Nothobranchius furzeri: one gene and its partner. The protein of the gene in region 1 purifies or fractionates together with the protein of each later gene. This does not show direct contact. Links are inferred from orthologs where the notes say so. Each region holds a gene or a part of one and is shown in the gene's direction. Other genes may lie near its edges.

The links. The genes of interacting proteins can lie anywhere in the genome.
Region 2: the proteins of cep43 (region 1) and cep350 purify together in Homo sapiens (affinity purification with mass spectrometry; 6 studies listed by BioGRID and IntAct, counting the BioPlex papers as one, with this or other methods). This does not show direct contact. The link is inferred for Nothobranchius furzeri from reciprocal best matches to the Homo sapiens genes CEP43 and CEP350.

Annotation. Positions count from the first base shown.
Region 1 is NC_091742.1:15,824,929-15,828,593, reverse strand, and holds the end of cep43 (centrosomal protein 43), read left to right. Parts: coding exon 1-68; intron 69-1,149; coding exon 1,150-1,265; intron 1,266-1,388; coding exon 1,389-1,454; intron 1,455-1,751; coding exon 1,752-1,785; intron 1,786-2,182; coding exon 2,183-2,270; intron 2,271-2,357; coding exon 2,358-2,438; 3' UTR 2,439-2,729; downstream 2,730-3,665. UniProt on the Homo sapiens protein: Required for anchoring microtubules to the centrosomes. Required for ciliation.
Region 2 is NC_091748.1:57,218,416-57,222,407, forward strand, and holds part of cep350 (centrosome-associated protein 350), read left to right. Parts: intron 1-1,385; coding exon 1,386-1,514; intron 1,515-3,992. UniProt on the Homo sapiens protein: Plays an essential role in centriole growth by stabilizing a procentriolar seed composed of at least, SASS6 and CPAP. Required for anchoring microtubules to the centrosomes and for the integrity of the microtubule network.

The DNA of each region.
Region 1 (3,665 bases):
TCGGTCCTTGCTGGGGACCCAGAGTTGGAGCGAGACAATCCTGTCTCAGATCACAGCTCAGAGCTCAGGTGAGCTGCAGGTGTACCCGTCTGTCCTCCTGAACATCATCTGATATTTATTATCATCCTCCACCCAGATGCAATGTGTGTGTGTGTGTATTTGCATGCATGCATGTGTGTGTGTGTATTTGCATGCATGCGTGTGTGTGTGTGGGGGGGGGTGTATTTGCATGCATGCGTGTGTGTATTTGCATGCATGCATATGTGTGTGTATTTGCATGAGTGTGTGTGTGTGTGTGTGTGTGTGTGTGTGTGTGTGTGTGTGTGTGTGTGTGTGTGTGTATTTGCATGCGTGCATGAACGTGTGTGTATTTGCATGCATGCGTGTGTGTGTATATTTTTATGTGTGTGTGTATTTGCATGCATGCATGTGTGTGTGTCTATTTGCATGCATGCATGCGTGTGTGTATTTGCATGCATGCGTGTGTGTGTGTATTTGTATGCATGCACGTGTGTGAATTTGCATGTGTGTGTGTGTGTATTTGCATGAGTGTGTGTGTATTTGCATGCATGTGTTTGTGTATTTGCATGCATATATGCGTGTGTGTATTTGCATGCATGCATGCGTGCGTGTGTGTGTTTGCATGCATGCACGTGTGTGTATTTGCATGTGTGTGTATTTGCATGCATGCGTGTGTGTGTGTGTAATTGCATGCATGCAAGTGTGTGTATTTGCATGCGTGCATGCAAGTGTGTGTATTTGCATGCATGCGTGTGTGTGTGTGAGTGTGTGTCTGTGTGTGTGTTTGCATGCATGCATGCGTGTGTGTGTGTGTGTGTGTGTGTCTGTGTCTGTGTGTGTGTGTCTGTGTCTGTGTGTGTGTTTGCATGCATGCATGCATGTGTGTGTGTGTGTGTATTTTAGATCCTAAAGGCCGTCTGGTCTTAATATAACAGGTTTCAAACCCACTTCCTCTAAAAACGGACAGAAATTAGGATTATAACATAATCCATGAGGAAAGTCATCTAGATGAAGGTTCCAGCAGCAGCTTCGTGTTCTGGATTGGGTCCTCAGATGTTTCTCCTCTGATGGAAGTTTTTAGTAGAAATGAACGTCTGATTGGGTCAGAACCACCGGTTCTCCTCACAGGAAGGTGGAAACGCCCGGGGTCAGGGGGAGTCCAGTCGGGTCTCAGTCCGAGGGCTGCAGACTAGCGGGAGGAGGAGGAGGGAGCAGTGGATCGGAGCCGAGCCGCAGCAGAAACGGTTTGTTTCTTCTCTGTTACCATGGATACTGATTATGTCTCTAAATAATCGGAGTTGTTTTCCTCCTACATCTGAGTTTTAATCTGTGATCAAACCATAAAATAATCTGTTTCTGTTCTGCAGGGGCATCAAACTCCAGAGAGAAAGGCTTCCGTGGGCTGAGCGACCGAACTGGGTCTCTGCATCTAGGTGGGAATCAGGTTGTTTGGAATCAGAAACGTCCTCTGGACCTATTCAATTTCAATTCAGCTCAGTTTATTTCTAAAGCGCCAAACCACGACCAGAGTCGTCTCAGGGACCTTCACACAGTAAACGATCCAACACAGGTCAGGTCATTAACCCAGCAGGTTGCATCGAGTCACTGACTAGTGTCAGAGTATTTACAGCAATCCTTATACTAAGCAAACATGCAGCGACAGTGGAGAGGAAATGGAGTCTTTGTGTTCCTGTTTGTGAAACTTAAACTCAGGTTTCCTGTTTCCACAGATGATGACGTTGAATATGACGATGATTTCAACAGGTGAGATTTCCAGGTGACCTGCTGCTGCGTGTGCTGGTCGGTTAATCCTCACAGATTTGATTTCCTTAGCTTTTTATTTCATTTATTCATGCAAGATTTTCTCGTTCAGCTCTAAACCGCCAGTTTTATTCAAAATAATTAGAAATGAGTTTTTCCTGTCCAAATGGACTCTAAATACCGGGTGAGATCAAATCGGAATCATCGGAATTACTGTGAATATTTGGTACATTATTTCTGGAAACTTCCATATTTGGGTCCAAATTAGTTTACAGGTCTTATAAAAGCTCTAAAGGTTTTGATTTATAAGCATCAGAGTTATAACAATCTAAAGAGGTGGTTTTACTGAGCTCTGAACCAGCCGATCGGCTTGAATTAGAACTAAGTTTGTGTGTTCCAGCCACCGGTCGGACCTCTCCAACGGAGAGCTGAGCATCGGCGAGGAGATTGAGGAAGTTTCCATCGAAGGTCCTGAAAACAGCGACAAGGTGACGAAAAACTCCTGAGCAGCAGATCTGAGTTCAGTTTAAACTGCTGGTTTCAACCCGCTGTTGTTTGTTTGTGTGTCGATGCAGTTTGATGAGTCCACCCAGGACCTGAGCGTCTCTCAGCTCAGCCAGAGCAACGTCGCCGATTATATGGAGGACGTGTCCTGAATCTCCCATCATGCACCTCTTCCTGTACAGATTTATAGAAACGACTAACGAGCTTTGTGCTGCTGAGAGTGATGATGATGATGATGAAAGATTTGTTTCTATTTATCTGGAACTTTCTGAGGAAACACGAGTCGTCGTAACAACAGGAAGTAACTTTTCAGTCTAAAAGGAGAAGAAGAAATTTTCTTCATCACATTTGAATGGGTTCAGCTCTGTGATGCTGTACGGAAAGCAGTTTTACTCCATATTAAACTAAGATGTGAATAATGAAAATAAATTAACTGAATCAAGTCTTTTTTATTGTAGTATCAACTAAATGATCACATGTAGCTTATCAAAGTAAAAGTCTTTTAACATCATTTAAACAATAAAACAAGTTACCTTTCCACCTCATCCCCCCAGAGCAAACAGGAACACCCTCCTCGAGTAATAAAGACCATTCAGCCTCATGCATTCATCGGGTCAAAGTTAAACAACCCTCCTGATGCGGAACAAACATCTGGACATTTCTCATTAAAACGCTGGAAACATCTGGATTTATCCAATAGATCCAAACATTTTACAATAAAACAAAAGCAGCTGTTTTAGCAAACGATCTTAAAATATGTCGCACCTCACAGAGGAACTAGACATGGATGCCCACTTTCACCCGCACCACTAACACTTTAACACCTAAAATGAGTTTATATGCTGATGATGTACTCCTGTTCCTCCAAAACCCAAACAAATGCGGTGAACTCTCCACAATCTCGAATTATACCATAAACTGGAATAAATAAACCTCTAACAGTAAATGGAGACACAGCAGATTACATCCTACTACTAACACGGTCACATACTTAGGAGTGGAACTCTAAAGTCACATTTCGACAGTCGCAGTTCGACTCCCCTACTGGAAACGATAAGAGATGACTTAAACAGATGTATGACCGTACCTTCATCATTTATAGGATGGATTAACACCAAAACTGACCTACGTATTCACAGTGATCCCAACCAACAGCAGCTTTCTTCACCACTCTGGACTAGGGCTGCACGATATTAGGAAAACCTGCGATATTCGATAACGATGATTAATATTGCGATGACGATATTACTTGCAATAAATAAAAACTTAACTCAGGAACAAAAATGATCAAAAACAAAGAAATCAAAAAAATCATGAAAATGAGAAAAGCAAAAGTTGTGAGGAAAGAGAAAAGGAAAATGAACAAGAAAAGGCAATCA
Region 2 (3,992 bases), on another chromosome or scaffold:
GCACAGTGCCATGCGTAATCTAATGTGTAGACCCCATCATCTCTGTGGTTGTGTCCACGTCTCCTTATTTGTACTTCTTCTTTAATCCATCTTTTAAATTTCTGTTGTTGGATGTTTATGATCCTTGTTCTGTCCCAGTCCATTATGTGATTCTCCCTTGTGCACCGTTCTGTTACGGCTGATTTCTTTATTGTACTTTCTGCTTCTTGTTTAGCTGCTCTTGTTTGTCTTTGGTTTGTTTCCATGCCACACTCCTTTCTGTGTTCTATTGTTCGTGTGTTGAATTGGCGTCTGGTTTCCCCCGTGCGTGTTTTATTTCAGAGTTTGCATCGTATTTTGTAAATGACTCCACATTAGGGCTGGGCGATATCATGGCCCAAAATCAATATCACGATATATTGAGGATTTCACCTCGATAACGATAACTGGACGATAACTACAGGTATGCGCAGAAACAAAAGTTGTTCACGAGATGGAGCTGTCACATGTATTACGTTGAGTCACATTTTTACGTGACTCAAGGTGGTTCAGCTTCTTAAAGGGACGTGAACGCTGCCAACCTACACACATCTTTTCATTTTTGTATCAAATTTATTGACATGGAAAAAATGATCTCAATAAGAGTCAGAAATTTAAATAACGATCCATTTTCGATTTATTGCCCAACCCTGTTCCACATTGTTGTCCTGCTGATATCTTGTCCTTTGGGTGTACTAGTCTTTTTCTAACTGTTGTGTATGGTTTTGTTGGTGTGCTTATGTTGTGTTTTTTCATTGTTGCTATAATTATTATTTTCTTCTATACCTTTGATGTAAGGAAGAGTTATCACTGGTTTTGGTTCTTGTTTTTCTGGATTTCTGGTTTCTTTGTTTTGGCTGTTCTTTTCTTTCTGTTGTTGTTTGTTGTTTTCCTTAGTTTATTGCCCATGTCGGGTATCCACAGTTCTTTAAAACGTTTTGTATACGTTGGTCCTCCTGTTTACAGTCCCGTTCTTCTGTTATTATGTTCGCTGGGTGGTATAACGTGTGCTATATATATTGGTTTCCTGTATGCGTTTATAATCAGGGTCCCGCTGCTCTGTCTAGTTATTTTCATGTCCAAAACAACCCCATTTTTGTGTTTTAAAAGAACCAAGCAAGACATTCTCTTTCTGCTCTGGATTCTCTTTCAAGTTCAGAAGTTACAGATCATACTTTGTGTTTTTATTGAAGCTTGCAGTAGAAGAGTTTATGTGCTGAGTCCTAAAGTGCTTAGACAAGTTTGGATCTTTCTGTGTCAGAAATGCATAGATTTAATTACATAGCAACTGTTGCATTGTTCCATGTGTGTACCATTATTTATTTGTTCTTCTGTGTGGGTTACTTTATGCATTTTTTTACGTTTAGAAAGCAGCAGGTCAAAGCATCAGCAGCTAAAAGAACAAAGAACAGAAAGGTCCACTGAGAGGAGGCCACCCAAACTCATCAGGAAGGTCCACAAACTTCCTACTGCCTCAGATGTGAATGCTAAACCAGGTATAACAATCTTTTTCATGTGAAGGCCAATCTTAAAGCTGAAACAGGAAAAAATTGAATATGGTGCAAAAGTTGATTGATTTCAGTAATTCAACTTAACAGGGGAAATTAATATGAGACAGACTCATTAGCTCCAAAGCCAGATATTTCAAGCCATTATTTGTTATTATAATTTATTTAAATTATAATTGGAATGATTATGGCTTACAGCTTATGAAAACCCCACATTTAAAATTTCTATTAAAATATTGTTAAAAGGTAAAATTGTTTAGACTCAGTGTCTCTCACCAGCTAATGAATCCAAAACTCCTGCAAAGGGTTCCTGAGCCTTTAGACGGTCTCTCAGTCTAAGAAGAATTATTGAAATTAATTGACTTATGCACCATATTCTCATTTTGTAAGGCAGCGTTATTTGTATAGCACATTTCCATTAGCAAGAGCAAAAATATTAAAATTAACATGACAACACAATTAAAATACAAGAGCAGTTACAGTGCAGAAGATGCAGGCCATTCAAAGGCTGGTGAATACATGAAAGTTTTTAATCTTGATTTAAAAGTGGAGCACATTTGAGGTAATAAAGAAGTTGATTCCTAGCCTGGCCAGCCAGACTCTCTGTTTAATTCTGCACAGAGACTGAGTCTGGTGACTCTCAGCAAAGAGCACCATGAAGGTGTGGCCAGTGGAAGTGGGATCCAGAGGTTTTGTAGCTGGTTCCATAATGAGGCTTTTGAAGGAAGTAGGAATCAGAGGCCAGGCCCAAAGGAGGGCAATCAAAGAGCTTGCCACTGCAGCGGAACAGAGCAGTCACTGGCTGTGGCTGAAACGAAGGGATGCAATTTGGACTGCCAAATGATGACGTGGTGCTTCCGAGTGACACACACCTGTGTCTGATCAACCAGGGGTGGGCCAACCCCAGCAGAGGGTGTATTGTGATAAGTGGCCGAAACACCCAATGAGGTCGGGGCACACAACTGAAGAAGTGTTGCGCCGGTTTCACCACAAAATCTATGACAAAGCTCACTCCACTGAGTTTTCATTCAATTGTTGTGTTGAAAGGGATCTTAAACAACTAGTCCTAGGAAAATTCTTGATTGACATCCTTTGTATCTAAGTTTTTAGGTTGGTGTATGACTCGATCCATATCTTGGCCTAATAAAAACTGTTTGCATTTATGCTAATCATCATATAATTCCATCTGTATTTGAGTCCCAAGTTTTATCATTCACTTCAAACAATGGATTTAAGAGTCTCAAGTCATGTGCCTGGTTTTATAAACAGCCAGTGATCACATCAGCCCTGAAGAGTTGCAGGAATGTTTGTAGAGACATATTGTCTGAACAAAACCACTGTTGTATGAGTAGAAAGGGTTGGACTTCCCGCAGGCACAAGTTGGTCTTAAGTCTTACTGTTTGCACTTCACACCCTAAAGCTCCATCCCGAGGGTATAATTGCAAAAGGTCTCTGAAGAAAATGGATGACATTACAGGTTGTGTGGCTAGCATGGTAATACTATGCATTAGACATCCTGCAGCAATGACTTGGGTATTGAAATTTTTAAAATGTATCAAGATTTTTTAAAATTGTTTCCTGCCTTCCTTCATATACGGACCTGCAAACGCTACTTTAACCAGAGATAATGTTCTGCATTAGTCAATGTTAAAACTCTAATCTCATAAGAAATGTCTAGTATGCGTGACATGCTGGTTGTAACCAATAAGTGACACACTGACACTCACACAAGAGAATCACAGCCACATACTTCTGAAACCTGTCTGTAGCAGGACTCAGAACAACAGAAGAAAACCAAATACATGAACAAAATTATTAAAGACAATGTTGTTTTATATTTATAACAAGGAAAACCAATCAACATTTTATTATGACTTTTTGTGCAATTAAATGTTTGTTGAATCTGGAAGAGCATACTAGTTCAGTCCGTCTCTAAAACTATTTCGATCTTTAGTTTTAGTGGCTGATCTTTTGGCAGTCTCTGCTGTTTCCTCCGATCACACAGGAATGCACATAATTTCACCAGAGTAGCATGTTTTGCATTAGACTCCTACAGTGGCTCCACACTTACTTATCTCACAGATAAACGCTGTTTGAATGTCTGTAAAGTATCCACAATAATTTATGATTCTCCTGCAGTCAACAAACATGCTGCTGTGTGCAGCCATGTCCAGAGCCTATAAGTAAATAATGTAACCGTTTATGAAAATGTTCTGAAACTGTACTTGCATTCCATGCTTTCGTTCTTTTTTAAACACAGAAACAGTTTTGTTTACCTGTTTTGTAGCTACAGTTTCGCAGACGGCTGCCGGCTTCTTCAGGCTGACGCTGATGGTGGCGCGTCACTTCCTTCTCCGTTTATCTGTGGGCAGCAGAGGACGTTGTCGCCCTCTACTGCCCGCTCTCCCCTCTCCGACGATGCAGTCCCATGCGTGGTCCAGCGTGTAAACTCCGTCGTCCCAGGAC